Arabidopsis thaliana: one gene and its partner. The main gene of each other region encodes a partner of the protein of the gene in region 2 in a complex. Each region holds a gene or a part of one and is shown on either strand. Other genes may lie near its edges.

Evidence for each region.
Region 1: NFC5 (region 2) and AT5G40340 share a complex: the UniProt entries of both Arabidopsis thaliana proteins name them as parts of the PRC2 (polycomb repressive complex 2) complex.

What each region holds. Positions count from the first base shown.
Region 1 is NC_003076.8:16,133,381-16,137,458, forward strand, and holds the start of AT5G40340 (Tudor/PWWP/MBT superfamily protein), read right to left. Parts: upstream 2,014-4,078; 5' UTR 1,480-2,013; intron 1,313-1,479; 5' UTR 1,301-1,312; coding exon 1-1,300. UniProt on the Arabidopsis thaliana protein: Together with PDP1, PDP2 and PDP6, interacts with MSI4/FVE and MSI5 to suppress FLC, MAF4 and MAF5 expression by regulating the function of the PRC2 complex and modulating H3K27me3 level, thereby promoting flowering.
Region 2 is NC_003075.7:14,560,685-14,564,762, forward strand, and holds the start of NFC5 (nucleosome/chromatin assembly factor group C5), read right to left. Parts: upstream 1,918-4,078; 5' UTR 1,839-1,917; coding exon 1,585-1,838; intron 1,093-1,584; coding exon 1,032-1,092; intron 923-1,031; coding exon 863-922; intron 765-862; coding exon 702-764; intron 585-701; coding exon 519-584; intron 402-518; coding exon 327-401; intron 206-326; coding exon 130-205; intron 58-129; coding exon 1-57. Other genes in the region: AT4G29735 (uncharacterized protein), read right to left, coding at 2,278-2,325, 2,419-2,497, 2,689-2,754, 3,376-3,476, 3,591-3,593. UniProt on the Arabidopsis thaliana protein: Core histone-binding subunit that may target chromatin assembly factors, chromatin remodeling factors and histone deacetylases to their histone substrates in a manner that is regulated by nucleosomal DNA.

The DNA of each region.
Region 1 (4,078 bases), on a different chromosome or scaffold from region 2:
TAGTAGTTACATTTTCAAGATCACCATTAACTTCATCATGGCGTTTTGTTTTCTTCCTACCCGACTTAACATTTGACTTTACATCTCCATCCGCAGGTTCTGTCTCAAACCTAACCTTAGCAGCTGACTCCTTCTCAATTATTTCAGTAATGCTTTTCTCCTTCCTTCTGTGGGGAAGCCTATGATCAGGAAAACCAGAACACTTCTCTAACGATCTCTGAAGAGACGACGACTCTTCATGATCCAAAGCTGCTACTTCTTCTACTCTAGACCGTTTAGCACGCCATTGTAACCCATCATTAACATTCTTTTCTTCATCATCATCATCATCATCATTGTTCTTGTCTTCAAGTCCTGGAACTGATTGAGGTTCATGATACTCAGTCAAACCATATCCTCTATTAGACCGATAAAACGCAGATACCTTCCTTTTCAATATCTCCAGCTCAAGCAAGCCACTAAAACTAACAGTCTCTGCAAAACTCTTAACATCTTTAAGAATCTCTCCATGTTTACCAATCAACAACGACGAAATCATTTCCCGTCTCACATCACGCACCAAAACACCTTCTTTAATCCCAGCATTGTTAACTAAAGGACTATCAAACTCATGCTTCTTCTCCTCAGCACAATCACATACCAATACACGCTCAATATGTCTACCAATTTCTTCAACCGCCTCTTCCACTGCACCTAGAAAACTCCGCGAATTACTCACTTTCGAACACTCTTTGAAACTCTCTGCAAACGGTTTCAACTGCGACGCACCGCACCAAGCAAATGTCCCGTCTCCGAAACACGCCACAAGCAATTTCCCTTTTTGCTTTATCTTCAAAGCCAAATCTGAAGCATCTGATGGATCATAAATCTGACCTGGCCACCATGGATGATTCTTAATTTTTCCCCACACAAAATCTCCTACACAGTATCCATGCTCTTCTTCTTCTTCTTCTTCTTCTTCTTCTTCTTCTTCTTCTTCATCTTCGCCATCTTCTTCTTCCTCTTCTTCTTCTTCTTCTTCTTCTTCTTCTTCTTCCACATCTTCCTTCAATTTGAGCAAGGAAGAAACTCCATTCATAACACAATCTTCAATAACTCCAGATTCGTTCAAATTCTTCTCATTTTTCTCGTCAACATCAACAACAACATCAGACTTTTTCTCACCGTTGTCGGAAACCCTAACACCGTTCTCTTGAACAACACCATCATCTTTTAGGGTTTTCTCAGCTGATTCAATCTCTGCAGAACAAGGCTTAGGTCCCGCATCTTCTCCGATTCCCAAAACAACTTCAATTTCCATTTTTCTTCCCGACTGTAGAAAAAAAAAATCACAAAACGACAAACAAATCAGAAAAAAAAATCAACCTAACTATTTACACACAAACCCAACAATATCTCCCAAAAAAACAAATTTTGAAATTAGGTTAACTCTTACGAAAAACCTAGAAAAACGAAAATATAAAGTAACAAATTTTTTACCTGATTTTGAGCTCCGAGAGAAACGAAACAACAACTTTTCGAACAGCGACCGAAGAATCTTCAAGAAAAAACACTTCTTTGTAAGAAGAACAAAGACACTCTCAGAATCTCATGAGAAAAATCCTCTCTTTTTTTTCTCTCTGGATTTTGATTTGAGAGAAGATGAAACGCGGCGCAAAAATTTCCTTTCGGAGAAATTTAAGGGTACTTTCGTAATTAATGAGTTTTTTTTTTTGCTTACTTATCTGCTTTTTTTTGCCCCAGGAATAAGACAACGTTTTTAATTTATTTCCCTAAATCAGCCGTGTCGCTATCACAATAAACTGACTAGCTACGAGAGTGTAAAATACAGCTTACTCGCTATGTGTATAAGAACATCAGTGTCTAGATTCTTACGTGGCGGAAATCGGATAGAGAGTAGATAACACGTGTATATGAACGCGAGTGGGATGAAATAAGAGAGACGCGTCACATGCTTTCGATGATTGACAGCTGTAATATGCTTAGACGGCTAATAAGCAGAGTAATAAAAGAATGGAGATTTTGAATTTGGTATTTGAAACGACACAAATATTTGCCGTTTCTCGGCCCAGTCCTTTTCTTTTTTTGCTCGGCCCAAACTTATTATTACACAACACCAGTATCTTAAATTTAGTGCTTGTTGATTAAAGTCTTTTATTAAAACCTCAATCCTAAAGAGTAGGAATCTACCAAGTAAAAGGAAAATCAAAGATCTTTTCTTTTTCATTATTCAACTGACCAACGGTATTTTGATTTTAGACACTGATTATTTTTTCTTTTTCATTCACTGCATTACTTAAGTGGAGTGGTAACGAAAATCTTGGTTATATATATTGAATTGAAAAATATTTGAGTTGAACCCTTATATTCACTTTTTTTATTTTATTCAATTAAAATTTGACATTTAATAATAATAAAAAAATTAATTTACTTATAAAATCTAATTTGTTACTAAAACAAAATTATTTATCGGTTTGAGTTTTATTAAAAAAAGATAAATGTTTAGATTTTATGATTAAACTAGATTTAGTCATTGAATCAATCTTCACACTAATTCATATTCAATCTTTTTGGTCAACTTATGTTACACCATATAAGAAAATCGCTTAAATACATCTTTTGACCCAGTTTAAATGTTTTAATTTTTTTCGTTGAGACTATATAACATGTGAAATCTGTTAGGATAACATTTGATACATCTAAACGTAATTTTCTTGTTGTGTTAATTTTACACGAACAACACGTTCTCATGACATGATTATATGTAGTATCGACGGCGAACCAATATGAATCAACTGTATAATCTGTATTAGAACTGTAATACCAAGTAATAGTGATATATGAATCATATATTTCCCACTACTTAATCATAGTTTGAAAGAAAGCTCAATGACCTTGAACCCAACTTGTGTAAATATTAGTCCATCTCCAAAGCCCAAGGCCCAAGGCAACGTAACAGACGGATCATTACAGTGCCAAGGGAATTCAGACACGTTTAAAATAATTCCGAATTGTAAGTTGTGAACGACCCACCATGTTATCTTTTCATTTATGATTCACATGGGGAATTCACAATTCTCACACGAAAAACATGTGGGCAAAACTAAAAAGACATGCAACCTAATTCAACAAAATGTAATGGTTCATATTTGTACTTGCATAGAATGCATATATAATATGATTTGAGGATGGGTCAAAACTCCAAACGAAATGATTTGAGCATATGTTCTAGAGATTCAGTCAGAATATGAATGCTATACAATCTAAACACTATAAAGCAACCTGGTCATGAGGTGATCTACGTACTCTCTTTGGACGTGAAAAATTATATCAACGGTTTGTCTACTTTATAACTTTTTTATTTATCAGTAAATATGGAAACATTGATTAATTAAGATCCAAGTCTCTTGATGTGATGAGAACATATGATAGCTAAACCAATGCCTCTACTTTTTCTATCTATCCAAATCTAGATTGTGCACCTTAATCTTTTCTACAATATTTATACGCATATCATAAAAATGATCTTAATCTACATGATTAGAAATAAAGGCAAAAACATATATAGATGCAATAGCGAACTTGATTGTTCATATTTAATTAAGTCTCAACTAAGATGATGATCTCTACCACTATCACTATCACATATGTGAAATTACTTGTGTATATGCAAGGACAACATTTGATATGTATTGATTTAGTTTGATATATACATATATTTGATTATATATTTTTACAAGTGTGCCTCTTGGCTCTTGAGAAAAAGCTTCCTTGGCTAAAGCAAAAAGTTTGGTAATCCTTAAATACATATGCCGTCTTACTGTAGTGAACTCACTCCCTTGCCAAACTTTTTGTCGTCCACGAATAATATCCTTGTCGGTCCGATTATTCTTCTTTATTATTTTTAGTAATCAGATGATTTTTGGATCAAAAATTAACCATCAAATTTTATTTCTTCATGCGAATTGCTAAAGCTCAAGTTAATCTAGACGTTATAGCATTCTGATGTTTTGATATATATTAACCAATACTTTATAGACCAACATAATTTAATTTAGCACAATAACTACACTTATTC
Region 2 (4,078 bases):
AACCAGCCATTGTGATATGGTCTTGGATATTCCACAAAATAACGGACTTGTCCTTGCCTGCACGGAAGAATCTTTGATGAGAAACTTGCAAACCACAAGATATGACACAAAAATAGAACTGATACAAACCTCCAGAGAGAACAAAAGGTTCGGTTGGGCACATTGCAAGAGCAAATTCAGCATCATCCTGGTGCCCAATTAGTAACTGAAAATAAAAGTTGTTCAAATGATGCAAAAAGAGTAGCTCTTTCGATTGTTAATATGATGCACAAGCAGGTTGTTTAACTCAGTGAGACAACATAACGAAAATTCTCACAAGAGCATACCAAATCTGGACGAGAATCTGGAGCTCCAAGCACAGCATACCGGTCTGGTTGAGTCTCAGTGTTCCAAATGAGAATCTGAAAACCAATATATCATACTTGCATGACTGAAACTGGAACTATTCAAAAACAAGGATACTGAATAACGAAAGCCTTTTTTTTGTCACGCTGATGACCCGAGAAAGCAGAACTTACATCAGGACTGTCGGTGTGAGTAGCTACAATCTTGCTATTTTGAGGGAGTTCCCTAATTCTGTTGACCTGCGATGAATGAAGGGTACACAAAACAAAATCTTTTTCAGCACTCAAGTCCTAAACGAAATGCAGATTCAGTAAATCCATCTAAGAAAAAACAATGAGAATACAGGAATATCACACCTCTCCAGGGTGGATGATGGTCTTGTACTTCTTCACAAATGGAGAGTGTGCCTTTTCATTAAGCTGAAAGCATATAAAGAAACGGTATTTCAATAATTTCATCTCAGCAGAGAGTAACACAAGGACAAAAGCACAAGCTTTGGTAGAGAAAAACTAATTACCTGCCTATTAACAGTTTCGCAATTGGCTATGACCAAAGTATTAGGCACACTGCCATTCGTCTAATGACAGAACCAAGAAAAAACGGTAAACATAAGGAGCAGTAAACAAACTTTGGATATTTTTCATCAAGAAAAAATGTACAAACCACAAGAACAAGAGCAAACTCACTTGTTCCGAGAGATAGAGACGTTGAGTCTTAGAACCTGCTTGCTCAAGCTGTGGCCCCCATCTGCTCAAATCAAACAACAGGATTACAACGAAATCGTACCTCTTTACACAAAAGCTAAACACTTCACTAAATCGTAGCACAGCTAAACATCTGAAACCAAAAAGTAACAAAACAGAACACCTAAACCGAGTTGGTCAAGTGTTATCAACGACATCATTTTCCTACCAAAACAAGTTCCAGAGGTTCAAAAATGGAAACATCAGATAGCTAATGAGCTAAAAGCCTAAAAGAGAAAGAAACACAGAAAAGCATGGAGACTGAGCTAAATTAAAAACCCGAACTAGAACATGTCCTAATCTCACAAATTCCAGAAACCAGCTAAGAAAAACTCTCAATCTATGAGTATTTCACTAGCTGAAACGGAAATGTAACTCAATCGCCTGACCAAAAGCACAAAGCTAGAATTTTTATTTCCCAAAAAAGAACCAACTTTCTCCAAAACCAAAGATCGAAAACCCTAGAAACAGAAAACCTATAAAAAAAAACACAGACCTGCAAGAGAGAGAGGGCCAGACGAGGGTATGATTAACAAACGAATCATAGAGAATGGGAAGAAGAGTCTTCCACTGAGAGTAAGTGTCGTCAACGGTGGCCTTTTGACTCTGCTGTAGCAAAAATGGTAACTGAGACTCGTTGTTGCTCTTAGGTTTCCGTCTTCTCTTATCCGTCAAAATGGCTGTCACCGGAGTCCTAGGTGCTCTTCTCGGCCTGGTGGCTTGAACAGTCGCTGCTGCTTCGCTTTCCATTTCCTTCTTTTCTCTCGTTTTCTCTCTACTCTCCTTTGTTTTTTTTATAATATTATTATTTATGCCACGTGGAGTAAACTTCGTCCCGGCAAATACCCAATAGGCAAATACTTAAATTAGCGAATTAAAATGATTTCTTCACACTAAAGAGTATAATCAGTATCTTCCCATTACAAAATTTGAGTAAAGCTTTCTTCTAAATCTTGGTAGAAAGTTACTAACTGATCAACTTAACAACGCAAACGCTGTTCTAAAGGCGGTGAAAATTGAAACCAAAACTCGGTTTAGCGTTCAAAAGAAGAAGATAATTTAATTGTAACTTGGTGTTTAAAGGCTACTTCTCAAGTCTTAACATTCATAACTCTGATTTTACTTGAACAAAGATAAATCTGTTTTTTTTGTCTTTGAACTAGTTGGGAATAGTATTGAGGAAGAAGGATCAGACATAAACACCACTAGCAAGTAGCAAAAACAACGATCCAAAACCCTGCAAATAACACAGAAACAGATTTTAACCAAACATTAGATTTAAAGAAAACTCTTAAACTTAAGTCAAGAGGGTGAAGAAGAAAATCCATACCAAGAAGACAGATGCAACTGCTGAAGTAGCGAGCTCCTTTCCGACGCTTCGGTTTTTCCTGGATGATGTAGCTTCATAGCTGCAACACAAATGTTATGACAGGGTAAGTTTTGATCACTCCTTGTTGGGCTGAATGAATCTAAACCAGCACAATGAATACCAAAAGAGTCCAATATGACCTTATTACAAAGAAGCTAAAATGAATGGTTCAAGTCTATCTTAAAGTTTTGACTCGAGGCTAACCCACATGCTCTCGTAGCCCAGACGCACATTACTTTAACAAACCGAATCATATCTCCTAAAACTTGCCACCCTTTGAAAGGTAAATGCTCCACGCTTAAATGAAAATCATACAAATCTAACTTTCTTGTATCTTAACTAAATCGATAATCAGTCATTTTGTCATATTCAGTGAAACTATTAGAGTACTGATTCCATTTCCATAGACTATCACCTTATCATTGATAAATTTTGAGTCTTTATATCATGATAGTATATAGAGCTCACACATTTCCAAAAGGTTACTAGATGAGTCCCATGACTTTCTTACTTTTTACCCAGAAACTTTAGTAATAAGAAAGGCACATATTTCAACAGATTAATCTAGCAAAGAGATCATGAAAGTGATGAACATGTAGCTTCAGGAGCTTTAGAAGACCTATCTCTAGAGAATAGCAATTGAGAAAGCATTGTGACCAAACCATATATATAAGCAGTAACAATGTTGGTCAAGCTTCATACACAGTGAACAAACAAGAGGAGAGCCTCACACGATTCATAGTTCAGAACCTAGTCATGACTATCACACACTAATCAAGCTTTATGAAAATCAAGATAAATCATAGGTAGATCGAATCTATCAGGAACTGTTTCACTAATCTGACATCAAGTAATATAAATTGAGAACAAGAAGGGGCAATTTCGAAGATCTAGAGATCAGATCAATTATTAGCTTACATGAAGAAGATAGCGGTAATGACGAGACCAATCGCAAGAGTGAACACCGATAAAGTCGGATACAGCGCCACCGGAATCGGACTCGCAATCGGTTTCGCCGCCTTCTCACCGGGAACGAGCACAAACACACCAAACAAAATCAGAAATCGTAAAAGCAACAAATAGAGAGATCAAATTAGCTGTGACTGAAAGCACTTGGACGGATCTAGATTTACCATTGTTGCTAAGCTCTTCTTCTTCTTCTTCGATCTGAGGAACAATGAAAAAGCTATTTGACTGATCTCGCTCGCTTGATCGCTTCACTAAACAAACACGAGTCGCTTCCGGTTTGTACTTAACCGGCTTGTTATAACACAACCACGGTTATTTTATGGGCCAGTTTTTCTGTTTAAAGGTTCGATTTAATAGGCCCAAATATACTTATTAAGGCCTTTGATATAAAATGTGTTCATATCTTTATCTTCTTTTAACGTTGTATAACTTTATTCAAAGTGCAATGTGATCCTTTACCATTTTCGAAAATTGAAATCCACTTCAATGTAGACATCTCCAACTCCTTGTCAATCAATTTCCGGATTGAAGATTGGGTACTCTCTCTAGATTTAGTTCCCACCTGAAAATATGGGACCGGATGTAATAGTAACAGATTTTTGTATTGGTCAACAATGACTTATAGATTTCGTTTTTTTCATGGAAAGGACTT